5 linked regions of the Mus musculus genome follow. The main gene of each other region encodes a partner of the protein of the gene in region 3 in a complex. Links are inferred from orthologs where the notes say so. Each region holds a gene or a part of one and is shown on either strand. Other genes may lie near its edges. The genes, in order: Nod2, Mapk14, Map3k20, Map2k3 and Akap13.

The links.
Region 1: Map3k20 (region 3) and Nod2 share a complex: the UniProt entries of both Homo sapiens proteins name them as parts of the signaling complex. The link is inferred for Mus musculus from reciprocal best matches to the Homo sapiens genes MAP3K20 and NOD2.
Region 2: Map3k20 (region 3) and Mapk14 share a complex: the UniProt entries of both Homo sapiens proteins name them as parts of the signaling complex. The link is inferred for Mus musculus from reciprocal best matches to the Homo sapiens genes MAP3K20 and MAPK14.
Region 4: Map3k20 (region 3) and Map2k3 share a complex: the UniProt entries of both Homo sapiens proteins name them as parts of the signaling complex. The link is inferred for Mus musculus from reciprocal best matches to the Homo sapiens genes MAP3K20 and MAP2K3.
Region 5: Map3k20 (region 3) and Akap13 share a complex: the UniProt entries of both Homo sapiens proteins name them as parts of the signaling complex. The link is inferred for Mus musculus from reciprocal best matches to the Homo sapiens genes MAP3K20 and AKAP13.

What each region holds. Positions count from the first base shown.
Region 1 is NC_000074.6:88,657,092-88,661,283, reverse strand, and holds part of Nod2 (nucleotide-binding oligomerization domain-containing protein 2), read right to left. Parts: intron 746-4,192; coding exon 640-745; intron 1-639. UniProt on the Homo sapiens protein: Pattern recognition receptor (PRR) that detects bacterial peptidoglycan fragments and other danger signals and plays an important role in gastrointestinal immunity.
Region 2 is NC_000083.6:28,725,427-28,729,618, forward strand, and holds part of Mapk14 (mitogen-activated protein kinase 14), read left to right. Parts: intron 1-66; coding exon 67-96; intron 97-370; coding exon 371-418; intron 419-799; exon of another isoform or gene 800-1,278; intron 1,279-2,930; coding exon 2,931-3,045; intron 3,046-3,477; coding exon 3,478-3,549; intron 3,550-4,192. UniProt on the Homo sapiens protein: Serine/threonine kinase which acts as an essential component of the MAP kinase signal transduction pathway.
Region 3 is NC_000068.7:72,368,889-72,373,080, forward strand, and holds part of Map3k20 (mitogen-activated protein kinase kinase kinase 20), read left to right. Parts: intron 1-2,838; coding exon 2,839-2,867; intron 2,868-2,982; coding exon 2,983-3,120; intron 3,121-4,192. UniProt on the Homo sapiens protein: Stress-activated component of a protein kinase signal transduction cascade that promotes programmed cell death in response to various stress, such as ribosomal stress, osmotic shock and ionizing radiation.
Region 4 is NC_000077.6:60,948,362-60,953,311, reverse strand, and holds the end of Map2k3 (dual specificity mitogen-activated protein kinase kinase 3), read right to left. Parts: intron 3,392-4,950; coding exon 3,252-3,391; intron 2,155-3,251; coding exon 2,109-2,154; intron 1,549-2,108; coding exon 1,465-1,548; 3' UTR 501-1,464; downstream 1-500. UniProt on the Homo sapiens protein: Dual specificity kinase. Is activated by cytokines and environmental stress in vivo. Catalyzes the concomitant phosphorylation of a threonine and a tyrosine residue in the MAP kinase p38.
Region 5 is NC_000073.6:75,605,336-75,609,527, forward strand, and holds part of Akap13 (A-kinase anchor protein 13), read left to right. Parts: intron 1-3,149; coding exon 3,150-4,192. UniProt on the Homo sapiens protein: Scaffold protein that plays an important role in assembling signaling complexes downstream of several types of G protein-coupled receptors.

The sequences.
Region 1 (4,192 bases), on a different chromosome or scaffold from region 3:
TATATGAGAACAAGACTGGGGGAGTACCAGGCTTGCATCCTTCTGCAACTGGTGGCTTCTTCTCCCAAGTAGAGAAGGACACTCCAGTCACACCCATCTTGCTACTCAAGCCTCAATTTTCCCATCTGTGAAATGGAACATAGCAAATACCCACTTCTCAGAACTGTTGGTAAATGGCAGAAAATTTCCATAGAGTGTATGCCAGGCTGCCTGGTACATTTTAGCCGTGTCACCGGAGCCTCTCTCACTGCTCAGCTGAGCATACCATGGATGAGACTGCACCTTCTAAGTCTGCCTGGTTATGAGTTCCAGATCATGAGAAACTACGTTTCGTGGATTGAGAGATCCTAGCCCTATCTGTGTCTGGTCTAGAATGCAATTTGGACAGCAAGATGTACCCATAGCTGGCTCTCTCCACACGCCTTGGCTCCAGGGAGTATCATGTGGTTTGGGGAGCAAGGAAGGGGGAGAGCCGCCATGCCCTCATCTTTTCCATCTTCACTGCTGTCAGGTTGCTGCTAGGCTTCAGATGCAGGAACTGAGTCTGGAGGACGTCAGGCATCCATCCATGGACGCTAACTGCCTTGTGCTTTGCTCTTTAACCAGGGGTCTGTGTTAACCAGAAGGACAAATACGTACCCTCGTAAGGCAGAGGCAGTGGAGCTGGTAGTTCCCTGACGTGCTGTAGAAGGAAGGCAGCCAGTCCATTGGCCTTCACCGCAGCGAGATCAAGCAGCCTTCTTGCCTACAGACAACAAAGAAAAGGCCATTGCTATTTTCAAGAAGGCCGAAGGAAGAGGAACAGTGTGGGAAGGTTTCTATTAAAAGTTGGACACCCCTAATCTGAAGGTCCCAAGTCCAAATGCTCTTAAATCCCAACCATTCTAAGTGCTGACACAATGTCACAACAGGAAAATTGAAACATCGTGTAGAATTACCTTCCAGCCATGTGTGCATGAAATATAAATGACTTCTGTCGTTAGACGTGGGTCGGGTTGCCAAGGTATTCATTGTTTATGTAAATATTCTAAAACCCAAAAAATTTTCTGAAACACTCCTGGCATCAAGCATTCAGGATAAAGTAAAAACTACCAACAATACAACCAATACACAGTCCTCTTCTAGCATAATGAGAGCCCAGAAAAACAACTGCTCTACCGTCTGCATTTAGCAAACAAAGATGATGTAGTCGTGGTTTGTGAAACAAACACACAGCCAACCTGGCTTCCTCCCAAAACCCACTGAGAGAATGAATAGCTAAAAAATTAAAAGCTAAAAAAAAAAAAAAAAAAAAAGACCAAACAAATACATAAACCTACCAACGGACAAAAGCAAGCAATGATTTTGGAAGCTATAGACCCCTGGAAGGCTGGTGTTGTACCAAGTCCCATGGCCTGGATGCTTAAACTCTCTCTCTCCACAGAACCCACTTTCTTCTCCAGCCTAAACTATGCTCTGAGTCTGGGACCCACACCCCTAACTGCCCATTTTTTTCCTTTTAAATGTGTCATAAGTATGTGCGCGTGCATGCACACACAAACACACACACACACATGCTGGTCACACACGCACACACGCCTTTCCTAGTCTCTGCTCAGGTCTCCTCAATCCTTCTAGTTGTTCAGCCCAACATCTGAGGTCACCTTACAGTCCCTTCTCTGCACATTGTCAGCACATCCTGTAGTCTCCACCTTCAAAGTACCAGAATCAAGCTGTCTGACAGAAATAGAGTCCAGAGCACACAAGCAAGGTATATGTGCACCAAAGCCTAACAGCCACATGCCTCAGTGACAAGTATTGGGTGTACTTGGTCATAGATCATACTTTACCACAACACGCAAAATCCTGCCATTTCACCACACGGTCAACATAAGAAGTAGTGGAACGTGCTGCTTTTTAATCTCTTTTCTGTTATGTCTTCTAGAGTTGGTACATTTAGCTGATGGCTATGGAGCCCTGTATGCACATGAGGCCTACTGCCATCTTGCTCCAAGGCACATCATGGCTTACCCAGAAACTGCACAGCTGCCAGTCTCTGCACAATCCTTGCCTACAGCCTATTCCATCCCCCACACCACAGTCAGAGGAGAGTGCCTGCTTCCTAGTCAGAGGTGAGTATTTTACAGGTTAGTCACACAAGCATAGCATAAACATCCCAGCCATGGCCTGAGTCCAATGGTAAACACTCCAGAGCCAAAGTAGACAAGCATCCTTGTTTGTGACCATGTAAACCCAGACTGCATCTCTTCTTGACTGCTTGACTGCCTTGGCCCCCTCCTCCCCTTGAATGCTCCACTTAGCATTGGCCTCCCTCTCATTTAATGAGCATGCCCAGTGTGCTTCTACTTCAGGACTTTGCTCTAACAGCATCTCTGGCTAGAGTGCTAAACCCCACCGCTGGCTGGCTAATTCTCTCACCCACTTTAGTCTTTTCCCAGCTCCTATCTTCTCACTGAGAATACTCTAACAACCTTTCAGGAAGGTGAAGTCACTACTTTATACCCTGGGGACTCTCAACAGACAGATCCACTCCTTTATTAATCTTCCATTGCACAGGGCACCTTCCAAACTCTGCAATGCTTGCTTCTGCTATGATCTATCTCCAGCTGAGGTATGAACATCACAACAAAGTTTTCTGTTGTATTCACTGATTTAGTCCCAATGACAGAGGCAGTATAAAAGGACTCCTACTAGATAAACAGACAGATAGACAGATGGATGGATGGATGGATGGATGGATGGGCAGATGGATGGATGATGGACAGATAGGTGGATGGTTGGATACATGAGTGGCTGGGTGGGTAAGTAGGTGGATGGATGGATAGATGGATGGATGGATAGATGGAATGGACAGATGGATAGATGGATGGATGGATGGATGGACAGGTGGGTGGGTGGATGGTTGGATACATGAGTCAATGAATGGGTGGGTGGGTGGACAGACGGACAAACAGATGGACTGATGGGTGGATGGATGGATGGTAGATAGATGGGTGGATGGATGAATGGATGGGTGGATAGATGAATGGATGGGTAGATGGATGGATGGATGGATGGATGGATAGATGTGGGATAGATGGGTAGATGGATGAATGGGTGGGTGGGTGGGTGGGTAGGTGGGTGGATGGACAGATGAACAGATGGATAGACAGATGGATGGACACATGGATGGATGGTAGAAGACTTCTTAAGGCTAAGTCCTAAGACCAAAATGTTGCTGTTGAAAAGCATGTCATGTGTACCCTACAGTCTGCCAAGAGCTCTGGCATGGCAGTATCAAGTATGTCTTCCCCACTCCAAAGCATGACCCAGCCACTCACTGTCCCTGCCTGTCATACTGCCCAAAGATCTGCATTCTGAAAGGATGAAAAAGGATCCCAGGACTGGGAGAATCCAGGCACAACTAGAAAGTGGTTGCCATTCCCCCAAAGCCAGAGTTTAAATGACTGTGTGTAAAATATGTGCCAAGGTTACCTTTCCACTACCCAGCTCACTCATCCTCCAGGTTCCCAGACCTCTACAATCATACCTTTACCACAGGCAGGAGGCTTTTTATCTGAAGAAGCTGGTAAACCCATGAGAAAAATTCTACAGAAATAAACTACTATATACACTACTATTGTCTAACCATCTACGGTGAAAGTCACTGTAGACAGGTTTCACCTGGTTGCTCAGGATATTTCAAAATCTGTCTTTTTAATAATAAGACAGATAACCAAGGCTTACCTATGCCCAAAGAAAGTGTCAAAATGGGAGATCAGAGACAAATTAATAGAGAAGGAATGGTAACTTGAAGGTTCAAAGGTTTATACAAGTAGTGAGTGATGTCACACAGTGGTAGAATGATTGTTTAGCATGTGAATGCTCTGGGTTCCATCACTAGCACAGAAATGGATATATATAGCATGAATCAAACAATGCAACTAATCATATAAATAAAAAAACAGCCATTAATATCATCTTGTCTACATTAAGGATTACATTCCCTAAAACAAGATCAAGTTGCTGTAATAAAGAAACAGTAAAAATAGCTTTTACATGCTGCAGGTGTTAAAGCATAGATGGAAACCTCAAGAATTCAGGGTTTAAAATACCATACAGAAAACAGCAAAAGATAGCTGTGGTGGATTATGCTTGTAATCTCAGTACTTGAGAGGCTAAAGAAGGAGGATTGCCCCAAATCTGAGGCTAA
Region 2 (4,192 bases), on a different chromosome or scaffold from region 3:
CTAGAGGATATGACACCAAAAAGCTGAAGATGGCTTTCATTCAACCTACTTTCTTCTCTTTTGCAGTATATACATTCGGCTGACATAATTCACAGGGTATGTATTATACCTGACGTGGTAATTATTTTGGTAGTGTGGGTGGGGCTAGAAGAGTGACATCTAGTTCAGATCTCAGCCTTGTAACTGAAATAGTGATTTTCTGCAACCTTGTTCTCAGTGTAGACCTGGTAAAGGAACACTTGCCATTTGCCTGCTCAAGGCTTGGAGTCTGCCTTTCTCTCTGAGAGCTCTTCCACATGTGTGCATCTTTAGGACCTGTAGGGAGCAGACTCTGTGCATTGTTGATAAGCTCTCTCTGCTTGCTTTCCAGGACCTAAAGCCCAGCAACCTAGCTGTGAACGAAGACTGTGAGCTCAAGGTAAGAAAGAAGAGATGGACTGTTTGCTTCTCTTAAGTGTTCCCCAGAATCGTGACCAACCACACTTAAGCCACGACTTGCTATCTAAAAAGTCATTTGTCCTTAGGAATATCAGACTGTGAGACTTGAACTAGGCTGAACAAGCTGTTTAAGTAACTTTGGAAGTAGATGTCGGTATCTTGTTTTCATTTTTAAAAGATAATTAAATTAGAAATGCAACACATTAATTGTAATAAAGGGATATTATAGTCTAAATGTCAGTTAAGCCTTCCTGGAACACTGATAATTAGATAGGTTCCTAAAAGGAAAAATTGCAGATCTCAGAATGATCTAAATAAAACCTAAGTAAATTAAAATTAAGTCTTTAAAAAGTAAGTAGAGGCTGCCCCCTGCCCAGACTGACGAGTCAGCCCTGCTGTCCCGAGCGCCATGTTGGGTTCTTCTAGCGTTGCCGCCATGAAGAAGGTGGTTCAGCAGCTCCGGCTGGAGGCCGGGCTGAACCGCGTGAAGGTTTCCCTGGCAGCTGCAGGCTTGAAGCAGTTCTGTCTGCAGAATGCTCAACATGACCCTCTGCTGACTGGAGGGTCTTCAAGTACAAATCCCTTCAGACCCCAGAAAGTCTGCTCCTTTTTGTAGTCATCTATCTTGAGGTTTCTCAAACCACTTTTCATGAACCAGTGACTATTCAAGAGAGCTAAGTTTGAAGTCTGTACAAAAGCTTCTCTTTAACACGTGCCATAATACACTATCTTCTGCTCGTCAGTCCTTAACATCTACCTCTCTGAATTCCATGGGTTTCTGTCTCACAAGGTTTAACTATTTTATATACACTGGCTGTAGCATACAATAAAGCAGCATACAAAAAAAAAAAAAAAAAGTAAGTAGCTGCCCAAGGAGCTAAAGAGGTCAGCAACCCTATAAGAGGAACAACAATATGTACTAACCAGTACCCCCCAGAGCTTGTGTCGCTAGCTGCATATGTAGCAGAGGATGGCCTAGTCAGCCATCAGTGGGAGGAGAGGCCCCTGGTCTTTCGAAGATTCTATGCCCCAGTACAGGGGAATGCCAGGGCCAGGAAGCGGGAGTGGGTGGGTTGTGGAGCAGGGCAGGGGGAGGATATAGGGAACTTTCGGGATAGCATTTGAAATGTAAATGAAGAAAATATCTAATAAAAAAGAAAAAGAAAAAAAGGAAGTAGCACTATGCTTTTTTATGATTTTATTTATTTATTTATTTATTTATTTATTTATTTATTTATTTATTTATTTATTTATTTTGGATTTGGGTTTTTCAAGGCAGCAGTTCTCTGTGTATCCCTGACTGTCCTAGAACTCACTCTGTAGACCAGGCTGGCCTCAGAAATCCACCTGCCTCTGCCTCCCAAGTGCTGGGATTAAAGGCGTGCGCCACCACTGCCCAGCAATGAATTTTTTGAAATGTCTGCAGGGGGCTAGAGAGATGGCTCATTTCCCAGCAGCTACATGGCTGCTCACAGCCATCTGCATCTAGAGCATCTGATGCCCACTCTTCGTCTCTGTGGACACTGCACAGACTTGGTGCACAGATATCCATGCAGGCAAAACACCCATGTACATGAAATGGAAAAGGAAAAGAAATGTACTTCTTTGTAGAGTGTTGCGGCCGCCAGCAGCTCGCAACATGAACGGTTCGACTGAGAAGGCTACTCGAGCTGTAAGAGAGGAATCTAGACGGGGCGAAAGAAGAAACGGAGCCAAGATAAATTCATTCTGATCAAAGCTCAAATTTTATTGTTGGGACACTAGTTATAAAAGAAGGGGGAGGGGACCCGATTTCCGCCAAATAATCTCTGGTCCAGTAAAAAGGTGCACGTGTGTGGCTCCGCAGGTTCTAGCAGTGGGCGTGACAGAACAGATGAGCGGGAAGCTCCACCCCTGAGCAAGCAGGTTTCAGGCTGGGGGAGGAGAGACTACAGTAGAGTTGTAATGTCCATGTAACCACAGTGATGACATAGTAACCTCCATAGTTTCAAAAGGTTTGAGTGTCCCCTCCTAGTGACCCATGACTCTCACCCTTCATTCAATGCAGGCAGCCACTGACCCAATTCTGACTCTGGATTAATCTTGTTTCGTATAAATGGAACTGTCGAGGGTCATGCACATTACTGAATTGTGTGCTCATCTGTATTGTGTGCTCCAGCATTCCCAGTTGTTCAGCAGTTTCCTTTTCATAAGCACACCAAAGTTTGTACGCTGCTGTCCTATTAGTGAGCACTTGTGGTTCGGAATATAAACCTATTGTGAACATTCCTGTGCACACCCGTGTGGGCATATGTTTTTATCCTTGAGTAAATGGGGGGGGGGGTTGCTTTGCTTGAAGCTTTATTTTTAAAGTTTCTTGGAGTGTTTTATCATGTCATGCATTCTAAGTGAAAACTGGGGTGCCCTCTTTCTGAAAGTGACTTTTCTGCTTTCCTGGTTGTGAGGTAGCAGAACTTGCTGCTCCCATGCCTGACTTCTGCTCTTGCCCTTAGATTCTGGATTTTGGGCTGGCTCGGCACACTGATGATGAGATGACAGGCTACGTGGCTACCAGGTGGTACCGAGCCCCAGAGATCATGCTGAATTGGATGCACTATAACCAGACAGGTACTGACTGCTTCAGTCGCCTCCCCAGATGGGGAAGGGGTGCTCCCTAACATGGCTTTCAGGTGACTTAGCAGCTGGGGCCTTACTTCTTACGTCTTCCGTGTCATTCTTTCTGTGACACTACCTGAGGGGAGTGGTCTCTTAATCCTAACACCTATGTTTCCTGGGAGGATTCACCATTTACCAGTAACAAAGTTTTGCCCCTTTGTGAGTTGCTTATTTCTTTTATCTTAATTATATTCTGAGTTGCACGACCTGTGGAGTCTTTTCTTGAGTGACAATTTTAATAAGTTTGTTTCTATATAAAAAAGATTGTCAAACCTTGGGTGTCTTAAATCCTGACTTGAATCTCTCACTCATAGTTAGAGTCATTTGTGTCCATGAATATGAATAGAAACCATGTCGGTGCTTGTATCCTCTTTACTGTTCCAGTGGATATTTGGTCCGTGGGCTGCATCATGGCTGAGCTGTTGACCGGAAGAACGTTGTTTCCTGGTACAGACCGTATCCTTTAACACGTTTTGGCCCTGTTTCTCATGTGTGTGCTGTGGTAGATGTGTGCTTCCCTAACTCATTGGTGGGGAAGACTCAGTTCTTTGCAGTTCCAGCGTGGCTTTTGAGGTCTGTCCTCTTGTTGAGTTGCTCACCTTGCCAAGAAAAGGCTTTGGGGTTGAGAAAACAAGCTTAGAACTCACCTGTCATATTTTTGCAGCAAGTCCCTTTATTAATGAGTTTAGTCTATTCCTGAAAATCCTTGGTGAGTGTACACGGCCACCTGTATTCAGAGGTATCTGGTTCTCACATTTGCTTATGTACTAAACAGACTGTGGGTCCCTCTGCTGACACGCCCGCTGAGTCCTGTCCTATTTGCTGCTTAACAACCAACAAAAGAAGCAGGAAGAGAGAGGCCCTGCTGTGTGCTCTTGTTCTCTACACCTTGTTGTCCCTGTTTAGAGCCAGCCCCACTTTAGTCCCATACTTAGCACCATCTGGGTTTTGGGCACTAAGCACTCGTTCCTATCTGTTGGGCACTTGTCCCATGGCTTAGGAATAATATCATTTAATGTGATTGTGAGAACGCCCACCAGCTCTGCTTAAGGAGGGTGTTAGGTGAAAATGTTAAAACGGATGCTTAAAATCCATCTTC
Region 3 (4,192 bases):
CCGAATTACATGGTATACATCTTTTGGTCATGCATACCTATAGTACCTGGAATAGTGCCCAAAAATGACCAGCATGCTTGGGCATTCAGAACATAAGGGCATTCGGCTTTCTTTTTTCCTTTCTCCTCTTTTGTACATTCCTAAACTTTATAAGCCTATATTTATCATTTGGAAAATGAGCGTTTTAAAATAGCATGCCGGGTTCGACACTACCTTCTTCCATTATGTCACGTCAGAGTTGTCAGAAAGGCACTAGGATTAGTTAGCTTTGGTGGACCTAGCTAAGTAAACACCGGAGTTTGCCGCTCAAGGCAGGAAACAGTCCTTGCTATCAGTTATTTCTACATTTTTAGCGGCTCTCGGCAGGGAGAAGGAAAGCGTTTATTTTTAGAACTCTTAAGACCACAGAAGCTAGAACTTGAATTTGCCAACAGTGTGATCCTTGGAATGGGTGGTGACTGCGGGTGGGCAGGAGGAGCCTGGGCAGGCCCCAGGTGCTCTGCTCACACCCAGGACCTGCAGGCCTTGGTCTGACAGGTGGAGAGCAGGAAAGACAGGAAGTTGTAGGCAGCTGCTCTCCTGAGAGTCCACCCTGGCCTCTCCTTAACCCAGTCAGCTGGCTCAGCAAACTGTCCCACCCTCTCCTACTCTTTTTGGCTCTTCTGAGACAGAATCTTGTGATATAGAGCAGGCTAACAGGAAGTCATTAGAAAATAATCTAATCCCCTCCGGGATGAAGTGACAGAGTTATGTGACTACAATTTCAGTTTGTGCTATTAGTTTTGATATAAACAAGTTATCTGATGTTTTAAAACCTATGTAGTTAGCATGAAAATGATATTTAACAATGGAGAATTTCTCATTTTAAAAAAACTACAACTTATGTAGTTAAAAGGAAAGAATATACATTAATATCAAAAGAATACCAGCCTAACTTTGGCAATTTGTTTTTACTGGGAAGTGGAGTGAGATTTTGTCTTCTGTAATATTTTTGAAAACTTTAGTTCTGGGCTGGCAAGATGGCTCAGTGGGTAAAGGCACTTGCCACTAAGCCTGACAACTTGAGCTTAATCCCCAAAAACCACATGACAGAAAGAGAGAACCAACTCCCACAAGTTGTTCATGATCTCCATGTGTATACCATGGCCTGTATGCCTCAACACTGTGTACACACACAAAATGAATAAATAAAATGTAATAACAATAAACCCGTATTGTGTGTGTGTCTGTGTGTGTGTGTGTGTGTGTGTGTGTGTGTGTGTGTGGTGTGTTTGTGGGCATACATGTGCTATGATATGCTCTTGGAAGTCAGAGAGCCACACTGTGGGGTTGGTTGTCTCTTCCCACCTTTATATGGGTCTCTGGATCTGTCTCCCGTCACCAGGCTCTCATGACAAGTGCTTCTAAACCCACCGAACCATCTCTCCAGCCCCCATATTAAGTTTTTTATTGTTTTTTTTTTTAATAAGCACTTGCTAATATTATGTCAGGAAAAAGGAACAGGGAGATAATCTAAGACCAACTGAATACAACAGTAGTATTTATTTGCATTTTTGTTTGCCACAAGCATGTAGCTCATTTCTTGCCAGCCCACATTTACTTTGAGACTATTTATATGTATTAGATCACACAGGATATTTTCTCCAGTTACCGAACCCACTAGTAACATCTGCTGTACTGATCATCCACCATGCTCAAGGCACAGAGTGGCTTACTACACAAGTCCCGGACACCCTCCCTAGGCTTCTGTCCTTGGCCTTCCCTCTGACCATCCCACTCCATGTCTCTCTCAGACCACAGCCACCCACATGCACAGCCCGCTCCTTGCCTCTTGTTCTGTGCTGTTATGCAGGCCGTCAGCCCCCTGAAGTCTCCCTCCTGCCCATCTTCCATGTCACATTCTTTGTGGCCTTCCATCCCCCACAAGACCTCTTCTTGGATTGGCTTCTGTCTTCTAGAATGCCTGCACCTTTACCCTGCACCTGAATGTTTCGTGGATGAAACTCCTCGCCCTCCCAGGCTCCCCTCTTCCTGTCATCAAGTCTTAGTATAAGCATCCATCCCCGCCAGAGACCTCATCCAACCTCCCCAGGCTTAGGTGGTCCTCTTGGTTGGTTCTTTATTAACTCTTTCTCTCATCATACAACTTACCCCCACTTCATTGTGGATGTTTAATGGTCTCTCTGATGCACTGAAGACTTCGGGAGAGGAGAGGAGAGGAGAAGAGAGGAGAGGAGAGAAGAGGAGAGGAGAGGCCGCAGTGACCTTTGACCCCAGTGGGTACTCAACACTGTTGTCAAGCACATGGATGCATAAGTGTTGTTTTCACCTTTCAGAAAATGAATCTTCAACTGTGAAGAACACACACACATACACACACACTCATACAGAGACAGACAGACAGACAGACAGACTTAGAGAAAGACACACACACACAGAGACAGAGACAAAGACAGGATTTTATATCATAAAACATAAAATGAAGATATCTAGAGAATTGGTGAGTTCCTTCCTATTAGGCAGATAGCATTTTTTTTAAAAGCTTAACTCCATGAGGTACTGTACCTGTTTTATACAAATGCGCGCATTTGGAACAGGGTCTTCTTATGTATCCCTGGCAGGTTTAGTTCCTGCTGTGCAGCCTAGGCTCACCTCAAACTCGTGGTAGTCCTCCTGCCTCAGCCTGGGATTCTGGGTACACACCACCACGCCCAGCTTATATCGTGAAGTTAGAAATGTAGTGGTTTCAACGTTAGAAACATGACGCCATACTTTTCTTTGGTGCTAAGGTGATTCAAACAGAAATGATTATCATACTTTCTCTCCATTTTCTTCCAGTTGTTATCGCTGCTGACGGAGTGCTGAAGGTAGGACTGTTTCTTATCATTTGAAGAGAGTTGTCCATTTCTGATGATGGCTTTGTGACTAACAGTCTCCCGTCAGCACTGGGTAGAAAGTTGACATTGGTTCCTCTGTCCTCAGATCTGTGACTTCGGTGCCTCGCGGTTCCATAACCACACAACACACATGTCCTTGGTTGGAACTTTCCCATGGATGGCTCCAGAAGTTATCCAGAGTCTCCCTGTGTCTGAAACCTGTGACACGTATTCCTATGGTGTGGTGAGTACGTTTCTCATTTCCTGCTTACCAAAGGACATAGGAAGGGACAACAGCTTAGAGAAGAAAATGGCCACAGTTTAGCTTCCTTGTGCCTGAGACAGTTGGGTCATCCACAGTGGAAGCATTAGGGAGGGGCTTTCCAGCTGTCACAATGTATGCTTTGATCACTTATGACCCCGAGCTAATCTGTCCTACAACAAGAAGAACCATCACTGCTTCCGAGAAACAAATAATGCAGAGCCTGACCAGCGCGAGGCCTGCCGGGCACGCTGTCGAGCTGGGTGGAAGCACCACTGTAGAGCCGCTGTGCAGTTCACTGATATTGCGAAAATCTCTTGGAATATGCTTGCTTATAATAGATGCCCACATGGCGTGTGACAGACAGGAGCTGCCAAGCGAGCTAAACTTGTACATTTCCGAAACTACAAAAGAACATGTTGTTAGACCAGATAGCCTTGCCCAGGTCTGCTGTAAATGCTTCGAAAACAAGTGGTGAAGTTAAGGGGTTAAAGCAGGTGGATGCCAGCAGGCAGAAGCAAGCCTAGAGTCGAGGGAGGAGCCAGCTAAGGATCATTTGGGAGGAAGTAGCCTCTGGTAGGGCATTTCCTGCTGCTGGAAGGAATCCTTTGTGGCTCCTTGTTTGAAGATGGTTCTCCCCCTGAAGTGTTGAATATCCCTTTAAAGACCAGAGCATCATGGGCAATTCTGAGTCTCTGGGTCTCATTGCCCTCTGTGCTGTGTACACCACCTCTGCTTTACACATTACCTCGCAAAAGGACACTACTGCTGTAAGAAACAGCTCACCCCCCCCCTTTTCCTGAGGTAGGGGGAGGTGGCTGGAAAGGACCACACGTCAAGTGCACCCCTCTCCCTCTTCAGTCCACACCCGGGCTGGCGTCCTTATATGTGGGGCTTTTCCACTGGGCCAGTGCTCCCTAAACCGTGGCACCTCTTATGGACGAGTGAATCCTGATGGCGATTGGAAACAATTTCAAAAATGGATTGTATATTTTTAGCTAAAGTCTAGGGTCTTAAAGGGGCTAGATGGTAACAGTAGCAACAGCATTAAATA
Region 4 (4,950 bases), on a different chromosome or scaffold from region 3:
TTACAGGAGAACAGGGGTAACGGGGCCTATGCAAGTCTTCCAGGCAACAGCTCAAGAAGCACAGAGCCATGCTGACCTACCAAGGGCATTTATACCAAGTCGCATCCTCAGAGCCTTCTTGTAGGCATCACTACCTGCCCTCGGCCTCAGCTGGCTCTGACTACGTGTTAGGGAGCTCTCTGGGCACATTCTCTCAGCTTACAGCTGAGATAGCAGTGCAAACAATGTGGAGCCTGCTGCTTCCTACCCGGTCATCTCTACTTCGGGGACCATCACTTGGATGAGTGAGTCAGGTTGCCTCTACAGGGGCCTAGCCTAGGTGGCCATGGAATGAAGCACCTCAGCCCAGCACCTTGAGAGCACCTGTGGCCTGTGGCCAAGTCTGAGGCCCTGGTGGGCTGGCAGCCTCCAGGCCCTAGCTATATTGTCCCGGCATGGTCCCAGAGTAAGGATTCCGCCTAGGGCTCCACAACTCCCCAAGAAAGAGCAGGCTTGCCACAGTCAGTCTCACACGATTTTTTTTTTTTTTTTTAATTAAAACAGCAATAGGTTCCTGCCCAGGAAAAGGCTGGAAGAGGCAGGCCTTTCTTCACAAAAATAGATTTTCTTCTTTTTTTTTAAAAACACCACCAAAGTAAACCTATTAGCTTCCAAGAGCTGGTCACACCTGGAGAGTTGTTACAGCTCCCTCGTGGCTTTGAGCCAAGAGCTTGAGCCATCCTTGCAGACTCCAGTCCGAGCACTGGGCGGCTGTGAGCCTGCTGGCACCCAGGGTTAAGTGGTCAGCTCCAAACCATGCAAGAAAACCCAGCAATACCCACAAAGCAAAAGGCAACAGGAATAATAGTTCAAAGGGAAAGGCAGATACCACTAAAGGTGGTAACCAGAGGCTGTCTGAGGACAGTGTGTCCCTCAGAGACCATTGGCCAGTGCTGGGGGGAAGGCCTTGGGAAGCTCAGTACGTCTCTCAGGAAAGTCTTAGGAGATTCATCCCCATAGTGTGTCCTCAGCACCTGAGACAGGATAGAGATGTCCCTGATCCAGGCCACAGTGTACGAAGTCCATTCATTCAGTTGTGATTTAAAATATATATACAACCTGCATGGCATCCAGGACAGTACCAAGGCTATGGCCTGTCCAGAGAGACACCAGCTGCCTGCTCTTCAGAAGCGACAGCGTTTGCCGGGGTACACAGGCCCTGTCAGATTCATCCCTTGGGTAGAGGCCTGAGACCCTGGGAGCAGCAACAGCAGAGGCACTGTGGGGCACATATGGCCTGGCTGGGAGCCCCTGAGGTCTGGTTCTTTGGCACTTGGGACAGCTAGTTGCAGAGACCGACAGGAACAACCCCTTAATTTCTCAAATGCCCAGGAACAGAATGGCAGTAGCTTATGGCTGTAGGTAAGTGCTGCCCCAGCACGGATGTATGGATGCTGGCAGACCAGTGGGGTCCTGGGCCAGTCCCTATGAATCCTCTCCCAGGATCTCCTTCACAAAGGCAGCAATGTCTGTCTTCTTAGTTTTGTGCAAGGTGAAGAATGGGTGTTCCTGGTAGGAAAGAGAGGTACAATTTCTAGGGGTGAAGGGGCACAGGAGAAAGTATAAAGGAGAGGTTCCCTCTTTTCATGCCCCTCCTACCTGGCCAACTCCTGCTGGTCCATCCAGGACCGCTGCCCCTCGAAGCCCTCCAAAACCATCAAAGCTTGTGACTCTGCCTCACCCTCCTACAAGAGTCCCTCCTGCCACACAAACATCTCTTTCCTCAAGGGTACCAGACCTCTGCCCTACCAGACCCTCTACCCTTCCTTCATTAGCAAAGAGCCCATACCCATCCTTCCAGGCTCAGCTCAAATGGCATCTCCTCTAGGAAGCCTTCCCTGATGCCACAGTGACTCCTGTGCCCCACTGTCACAGCCCCGTGCACCTTTCCACAAGGCCTGGGGTACAGGCATGGGTGAAGGTGAAACTACACAAGCACATGCAAGGGCCAGGCAGAAGAGCTACCTCTCTACCCTGGAGTGCAACCCTCTTCCAGACAGTCCCACCCAGCCCCACCCAGCCACTACACAGCACAGGGGACAGGGCAGGTACTTCTCGTGCACACTCACCATCAGCTCCAGGTAGCTCATGCGCTCTGCAGGGTTCTTCCTTAGGCTAGGAAAGAGGGCAGTGAAGACAGGCTCACACGGAGGAAGCGAATCCAGACAGGCTGGGCTTGCCCCCATTGAGCAGCACACTCCTGGGGCTCAGAGATGGAGCAAACTGTCTGGGAGTCTCGCCAAGTGGCTTGGGGTCCGTGGGTACTAACTCTATAGTCTTGCAGCAACTTTCCCTGCCTCTTGGAGACCAGTGGTCTCTATAGTGACCCAGGCTAGGTCTGTGGCACCAACCCCAACATGCTCTGCCAAAACCACAGACTAGATTATCCTTTATCAGAAGGGAGGACTCCAGTCATTGGTTCCGGAACATAAAGTCCAACCAACAAGAGGCAAACTAATCAATGACTTTGTTACTGGTCTCCTGGGCCTGCAGCTTTTCTTGTTTTCTGCTGAGAGGCTTTGACTTGTCCTCTGAGCATCTCTGGGCCAAACATGCAAAACATTGGTTTGCTCTCACTAGTTTCCTCTTAAAAATGTATTTTCTAAATCTCTCTTATAACCCAAGAGTTATAAGAATACTTTTACTTTCCATGCAGTTATTTAATTATGGTTAGAGAGCTCGTCTGTATAACTGCTTTTCTTACTCTTTTGTAACTTCAAACATCTTTTTTTTTTTTTTTTTTTTTTTGAGACAGGGTTTCTCTGTATAGCCCTGGCTGTCCTCTAACTTACAGAGATCCTTTCTCTGCCTCTCAAGCGCTGGGATTAAAGATGTGCACCACCACTGCCTGGATCAAAAACATGACTTTTCTAAAACCTCTATGAACTTTCTGTAATTCAGTAAAAACTTCTAAACAACAAAAAAGCAACTTCATTATGCATTTTAATGTTCCATAATATATGTTACTACACACAAACACACACACACACACACACACACACACACACACACACACACATACACACACAAAATCCCTCTACTCTTTGGGGCTACCTGATTCATCCTTTTCTGCAAAGACTAGAACTAAAAGCTACCACTGGGACTAAAACCTTTTACTCGTGCTGGAACTAGCTTTACCTCCTGCCTTCTGATACCAGGTGGCTCAAGGGTTATCTTGCTGCAGAAGGAGGGGACACAGCCCAGATACTCACCACTGGCTAGTGAAGTCCACAAACTCAGGGGAGAACTGGTCCGCTGGGAGCTGTGGGGATGGCTCCTCCACCACCTGCTTCAGCTGCTGGAACGGTGTGCCCCAAGACTCATAAGGGAATCGCAGAATGGCCATCTCGATCTGAAGTAGGGACAGCAGTCAGCAGGTTCATTTGGTACCCAGAAGCATGATGAGGAAGGGATTTTACCCATAATTCCCCAGCACCCCAGGCCAGGCCTTGGTATGAGGGCTGACACTGACTGCCCTCATACCAAGCAGCAGGCCAACTAACTACTGAAGCTCCTCTGACTGGACTGGCAGACCTAGCTCAGACTAAGGCTCACCCTGGGCTGGGTTTAACCCTTACTGGTTTTTTAAATTTTTTTTTCAAACACTCTAAAATTGGATGATTTGTATTTAACAACTTGGGTTCCAGACAGCGTGTCAAACATGAGGAGTGGCAGCCACATACACCTTTCCCATAAGGTGGCAGTAATCAAAGTACCTCACTGGGTCCAGTCCTAAGCCCCTGTTGGCCCAGCTACTTCCTCTTCAGTACCTCCCCAACACAGACTTCAATATCCAGGGCCACCTATCCAGCTGTTGTTTTTACTAGTTAGGCCAACAGGGAGTGGCGGACTCCTGCATGGATACCTCCTGACGGGTGCAGTGGAAGGCCTCAGTGACAGGCTGTGACCACCATAAGGAATGGAGGAGACCTCTATAGCAACTGCAACTGGCCCTACATAGAGCACTAGAAACTATTCTGATGAGGGACTTTCCTGTCAGGTTCCATGCCTTTCCAACCAACGTGGGAACAGCATGAATGGGAAGACAGTGTGTGTCACATGTGTGCCCGCCCACAGGACAGAACTGCATGCAGCATTTCCAGAATCTACTGCAGGACCTTTCTGCAGACTGCAAGAGAAAGCTCAGTAGCACCCATATACCTAACCAAAAAGCACCAGAGTATGGACCTCAAACATCTTGTCTGTTTTTGGCTTTTCCAGACAGGGTTTCTCTGTGTAGCTCTGGCTGTCCTGGAACTGACTCTGTAGACCAGGCTGGCCTTGAACTCAGAGATCTACCTGCCTCTGTCTCTGCCTCTTGGTATTAAAGGTATACATTACCCTGCTCAGCCTGATGATTTTTTTTAAAGAGTTTAGAAAAAGATAAATAAAAACTAACTCAACACAAAGACATATAAGACAGTTTACCTATCACAGGACCCCCCGGGAGCCAGCCCCCTATAATGACTGAGCGTCAGAGACAGCAGTGGAGATGGTGACACCACTCAGGGCCTTCTTGGTTCAGAGTGTGACCTGTGTCTGTGCAAGGTAACTCCCTTGTATTCTGAGACACAGGAAATTTGTGTGCCCAGAGCTCCCAGGGCAAGAGGGATGCACTGAACCGTACCGTTGCAGCATTTTAAGTGGAAATGTTGGGCCAAGGATAAACATAAGTGGTGAACCTGGAGGAAGAGGTCCTAGAAGACAGTCCAAGCCTTGCTCCTGTTCCTGGGGCCTGAAAACCCTACTGTAAAACCCTGCCTTCAAGATAAAGCCTCTTTAAAAATAACAAAATGTCTTCCCCAATAGTCATGAGATCAATCATGGGAACTTGGACAGTCTCAAAACATTTAGGCAGGAGGAACGAAGAAAGTGGACAGCATATCTTGGTAACTGTGACTCCTGACGGTC
Region 5 (4,192 bases), on a different chromosome or scaffold from region 3:
GAACTCACTCCTTAGGAGAACCTTTTCACTGCTGTCCAGTGAATGATGACGTGGCTGCCGTATTTACGTAGATAGTTGACAGTTAAAAAGACCGTCTGAAAACTAAGGATTTTATAATCCACTCAAGCACTGAAGATAAAATGGTTGCCAGACATAAGATTATTACAGAGTCTTAGTAGCATTTATTGTGGATGGTATGGATGTCACATGGCTGGATCTGTAGCATCTGAGAAGCTAATCTTAGATCATTTTTCCACCCCGTTTATTTCAGAGCTAATTTGATTTGGAACCAGCCTGATAATAATTTTGTTTGAGGTCATCTAGGGCCAGCTCAATGCCAGAGGCATTATTTTTGAGACGAGCAAGCCAAACAAATTCTACACTATGATGATATGAAATGGTTTATTCTGGCTGTCTTTCCTTTTTGGAATATTTTTTATGTTTTTGTTTGTTTGTTTTGTTGTTTTGCTTTTCATGAATGTTTGTGTATCACGTTCATGCATTGTATGCGTATGTGTGTCTGTGTATATTGCGTGCATACAGTACACTCAGAGGTCAGAAGAAGGCATCATATCCCCTGGAACTGGAGTTTCAGATGGTTGTGAGCCATCATGTGAGTCCTGGAAGGAAAGCCTGTGTCCTCTGGAAGAGCAGCCAGTATTCTTAACCGCTGTGCCATCTCTCCAGCTTTCTTCTGCCTTTTTGAAAGATATCTATTTCCAGCCTGTCATTTTCATATAAATGGACTCTTTGGAAGTTACTTTTTCCTCTCTGATTTAATGGCTGATCATCTGAGGGAACTCAGCTTGCCCATTTCAGTGTTGTTTCTCCCATTCTTTTTTTTTTTTCCATTTTTTATTAGGTATTTAGCTCATTTACATTTCCAATGCTATACCAAAAGTCCCCCATACCCACCCACCCCCAATCCCCTACCCACCCACTCCCCCTTTTTGGCCCTGGCGTTCCCCTGTACTGGGGCATATAAAGTTTGCATGTCCAATGGGCCTCTCTTTCCAGTGATGGCCGACTAGGCCATCTTTTGATACATATGCAGCTAGAGTCAAGAGCTCTGGGGTACTGGTTAGTTCATAATGTTGTTCCGCCTATAGGGTTGCAGATCCCTTTAGCTCCTTGGCTACTTTCTCTAGCTCCTCCATTGGGAGCCCTGTGATCCATCCATTAGCTGACTGTGAGCATCCACTTCTGTGTTTGCTAGGCCCCGGCATAGTCTCACAAGAGACAGCTACATCTGGGTCCTTTCGATAAAATCTTGCTAGTGTATGCAATGGTGTCAGCGTTTGGATGCTGATTATGGGGTGGATCCCTGGATATGGAAGTCTCTACATGGACCATCCTTTCATCTCAGCTCCAAACTTTGTCTCTGTAACTCCTTCCAAGGGTGTTTTGTTCCCACTTCTAAGGAGGGGCATAGTGTCCACACTTCAGTCTTCATTTTTCTTGAGTTTCATGTGTTTAGGAAATTGTATCTTATATCTTGGGCATTCTTGAAACAGCACTGCCTACCTACTTCCCTGGTCTGCAGTGCTCACTCTTAATTAAGGGTATTGATTTACTGCCCTAACTATTAGAAGGAGTGTACTCTTAAGGGATACAGCATACTCGTGTTTAGTGAGAATCTGGTTTTTAGTACACTCTAACAAAAGGACTTTAGCAAGGATAGCAGACTATACTCTTCTTTGCAGACTTTATGATACCTTTAATTAGTAGGAACAATCTGATGATATAGTATATTTACAGATTAAACAGATAAGTGAGGCATGCTAATGACTGTATTAAAGGTATTATAAAGGACAAGAAATGGAGAACAGATATTTTAAAATAATTATGTACCAAATAAATAGCACTATATCTGAATTTTGATATTATAAATTCACTAAAGGTGCAATCCTATTTGTTTGTTTTTATTTTCCTGAGCCTTGTCTGTACGTCTATGATATTTTTATATTATTTATTTTTAAGACTTATTTTAATTTTGTGTGTGTGCACACACATGTGTGCAAACATCCCACCCCCATGCATGTGTGTTGTGGGGGAGTATGTGCAGATAAATGCAAACAGGAAGGTATCAAATTCCCTGCAGCTAGAATTAGAAGTGTTTGTAAGGTGCCTGATGTAGGGTGCTGAAAATAGAAATCTCAGGCCCTCTGCAAGAGAAGTATGCATTCTTCAGCAGAGCTATCGCCTCGGTCTTTTTTTCCCCCCCCCTTAATTAATAACTTCTGATCAACTGTAAATTTTATTTAGTTTTTTCATTCTCTCTCTCTCTCTCTCTCTCTTTCTCTCTCTCTCTCTCTCTCTCTCTCTCTCTCTCTCTCTCTCTCTCTCTCTTTCTCTCTCTCTCTCTCTCACACACACACACACACACACACACATTCCAGGGGCAGAAGACTAGATTAGATAGTTAGGCTGTCTTCATAGTTCCTATAACAGTGTTGTGTTATTTTTATAACATTGATGAACTGTGATTGTTTTAGCCATTTCTTTCTTATTTGCTGTATTTGTTCATATAATTAATTTTTAAGAACCTTTCCACTATGCATAGTAATGTGGGTACAATCTCAGTAGTTAGGATGGAGAAACGGAAGGGTTGAGGCGTTTTGAAGCTAGCCAGTCTATATAGCAAATTTCTCTACATAGTGAGACCTTGTCTCAGAAAAGATGCAAGCAAAACTAAATTAATTTTAAGGTGCTAAAAACCATTTTTGATCATATTTTTAGTGCCCTCAAGCCATAACACCCTTGACAGTAGTTAAGAGTTTGGTTTGGCTAATAGTATACACTCTCTTTTCTTTAATATGCTGTATGGACAGCACAAAACCCACTTTTTATCTAACTGATACATAGAATTCCTAATTCTAAAAGCGTAGATATGTTGGATTGAACATATTTTGGGAATGTAGTTACGTGGCTGAATATTTTGCTTGAAAGGGGTTCTAAAACTGATTATACTGTGTCTTTACATCGGTATTTGAGGCAGATGGATAGAAGGCCCGGAAAGACAGTGCTTGTCCAACAAGACTTGGCTTACAGGTATCAGTGACATCTTTTTCTCTTAGTCAGCACACCCCCCCACACACACTTTTCTTTTCATGATCAATTTTTAAAAGGTATCTTTGGTTTCCTCCTAGAAAACAAACTTGAAGCAGATGGACAATCTCATGCCATTAATGGTGACAGCACAAGATTCGTCTTGTGTGCCCAGTGTACCAGAGACAGATGGCCTATTCCTTCCCTGTGTACCAGAGCCTTCTGACCACCAGCATCCTCCTTTTGAAGAAACTAAGAGCACTCTGTGCTGCCAAAGGAGTCCTGGGAGGATGGCTGAAAGTTCCTGTGATTTGTCAAGCATGGTTGAGGAAGAAAATGTCATCTGTTCTCATAAGAAAAATAAAGATGTGGGGAGAAAGGGGGAAGAGGCGGAGCCAGCATCTGCCATGGACTCCGGGTCTGCATCTCATCAAGACAGCTGCCTTCAGAGCGTACCCGACTGTGGAGTGAAGGGCAGAGAAGGTCTTCCATCCTGTGGAAACAGAAACGAAGTAACTGGAACAAACTATTCTGGAGTAGCCACATGTCAGCAGCCACTGAGCAGCAGGAGCAGTGTGCTGCAGGATGCCATGGTCACAGAACCAGATGCATGCCAGCACTCTTCTGGAAGGGAGCTACCAGACAGCTCTTCAACAGATGTTGGTGCCCCAGAAAAGGCAGGGGAACTGGAACATAGCCTGCTTACCCCAGATGCTACCACCCAGAACAATAAGCCTCAAGTAGGGGAAGGCACAAAGGAAAGACTTGAGAATTCAGACAGTAGCACAACTGAAACAACTGCTGTTCAAGTTTTAAGTGAACCCATGGAGAAAGCCGATATTACAAACCATGTCTTTGCCACCAGTGCCGTAGGTGTTAACACTCCTGCTGAGGCTTCACCTGCATTGAGTTCTGAAGAAATCCCCACTGAAAAACCAGGAATGGAAACTCAAGAGAGAGGCTGTGAGGGGGGAACCACAAGTGACCAGAGCTCCCCGGTGCTTCCTGCTGCTGCTATAGAAAACAAGGTTTTAGGTGGACAAGAACCTGATACTTCCATAGCAGGCTTTTGTAAGACAGCATCACCTTTGGATTTAACCATGCCAGGCCCAAGTTCAGATGGGATGCCAGAACAGAACTCAGA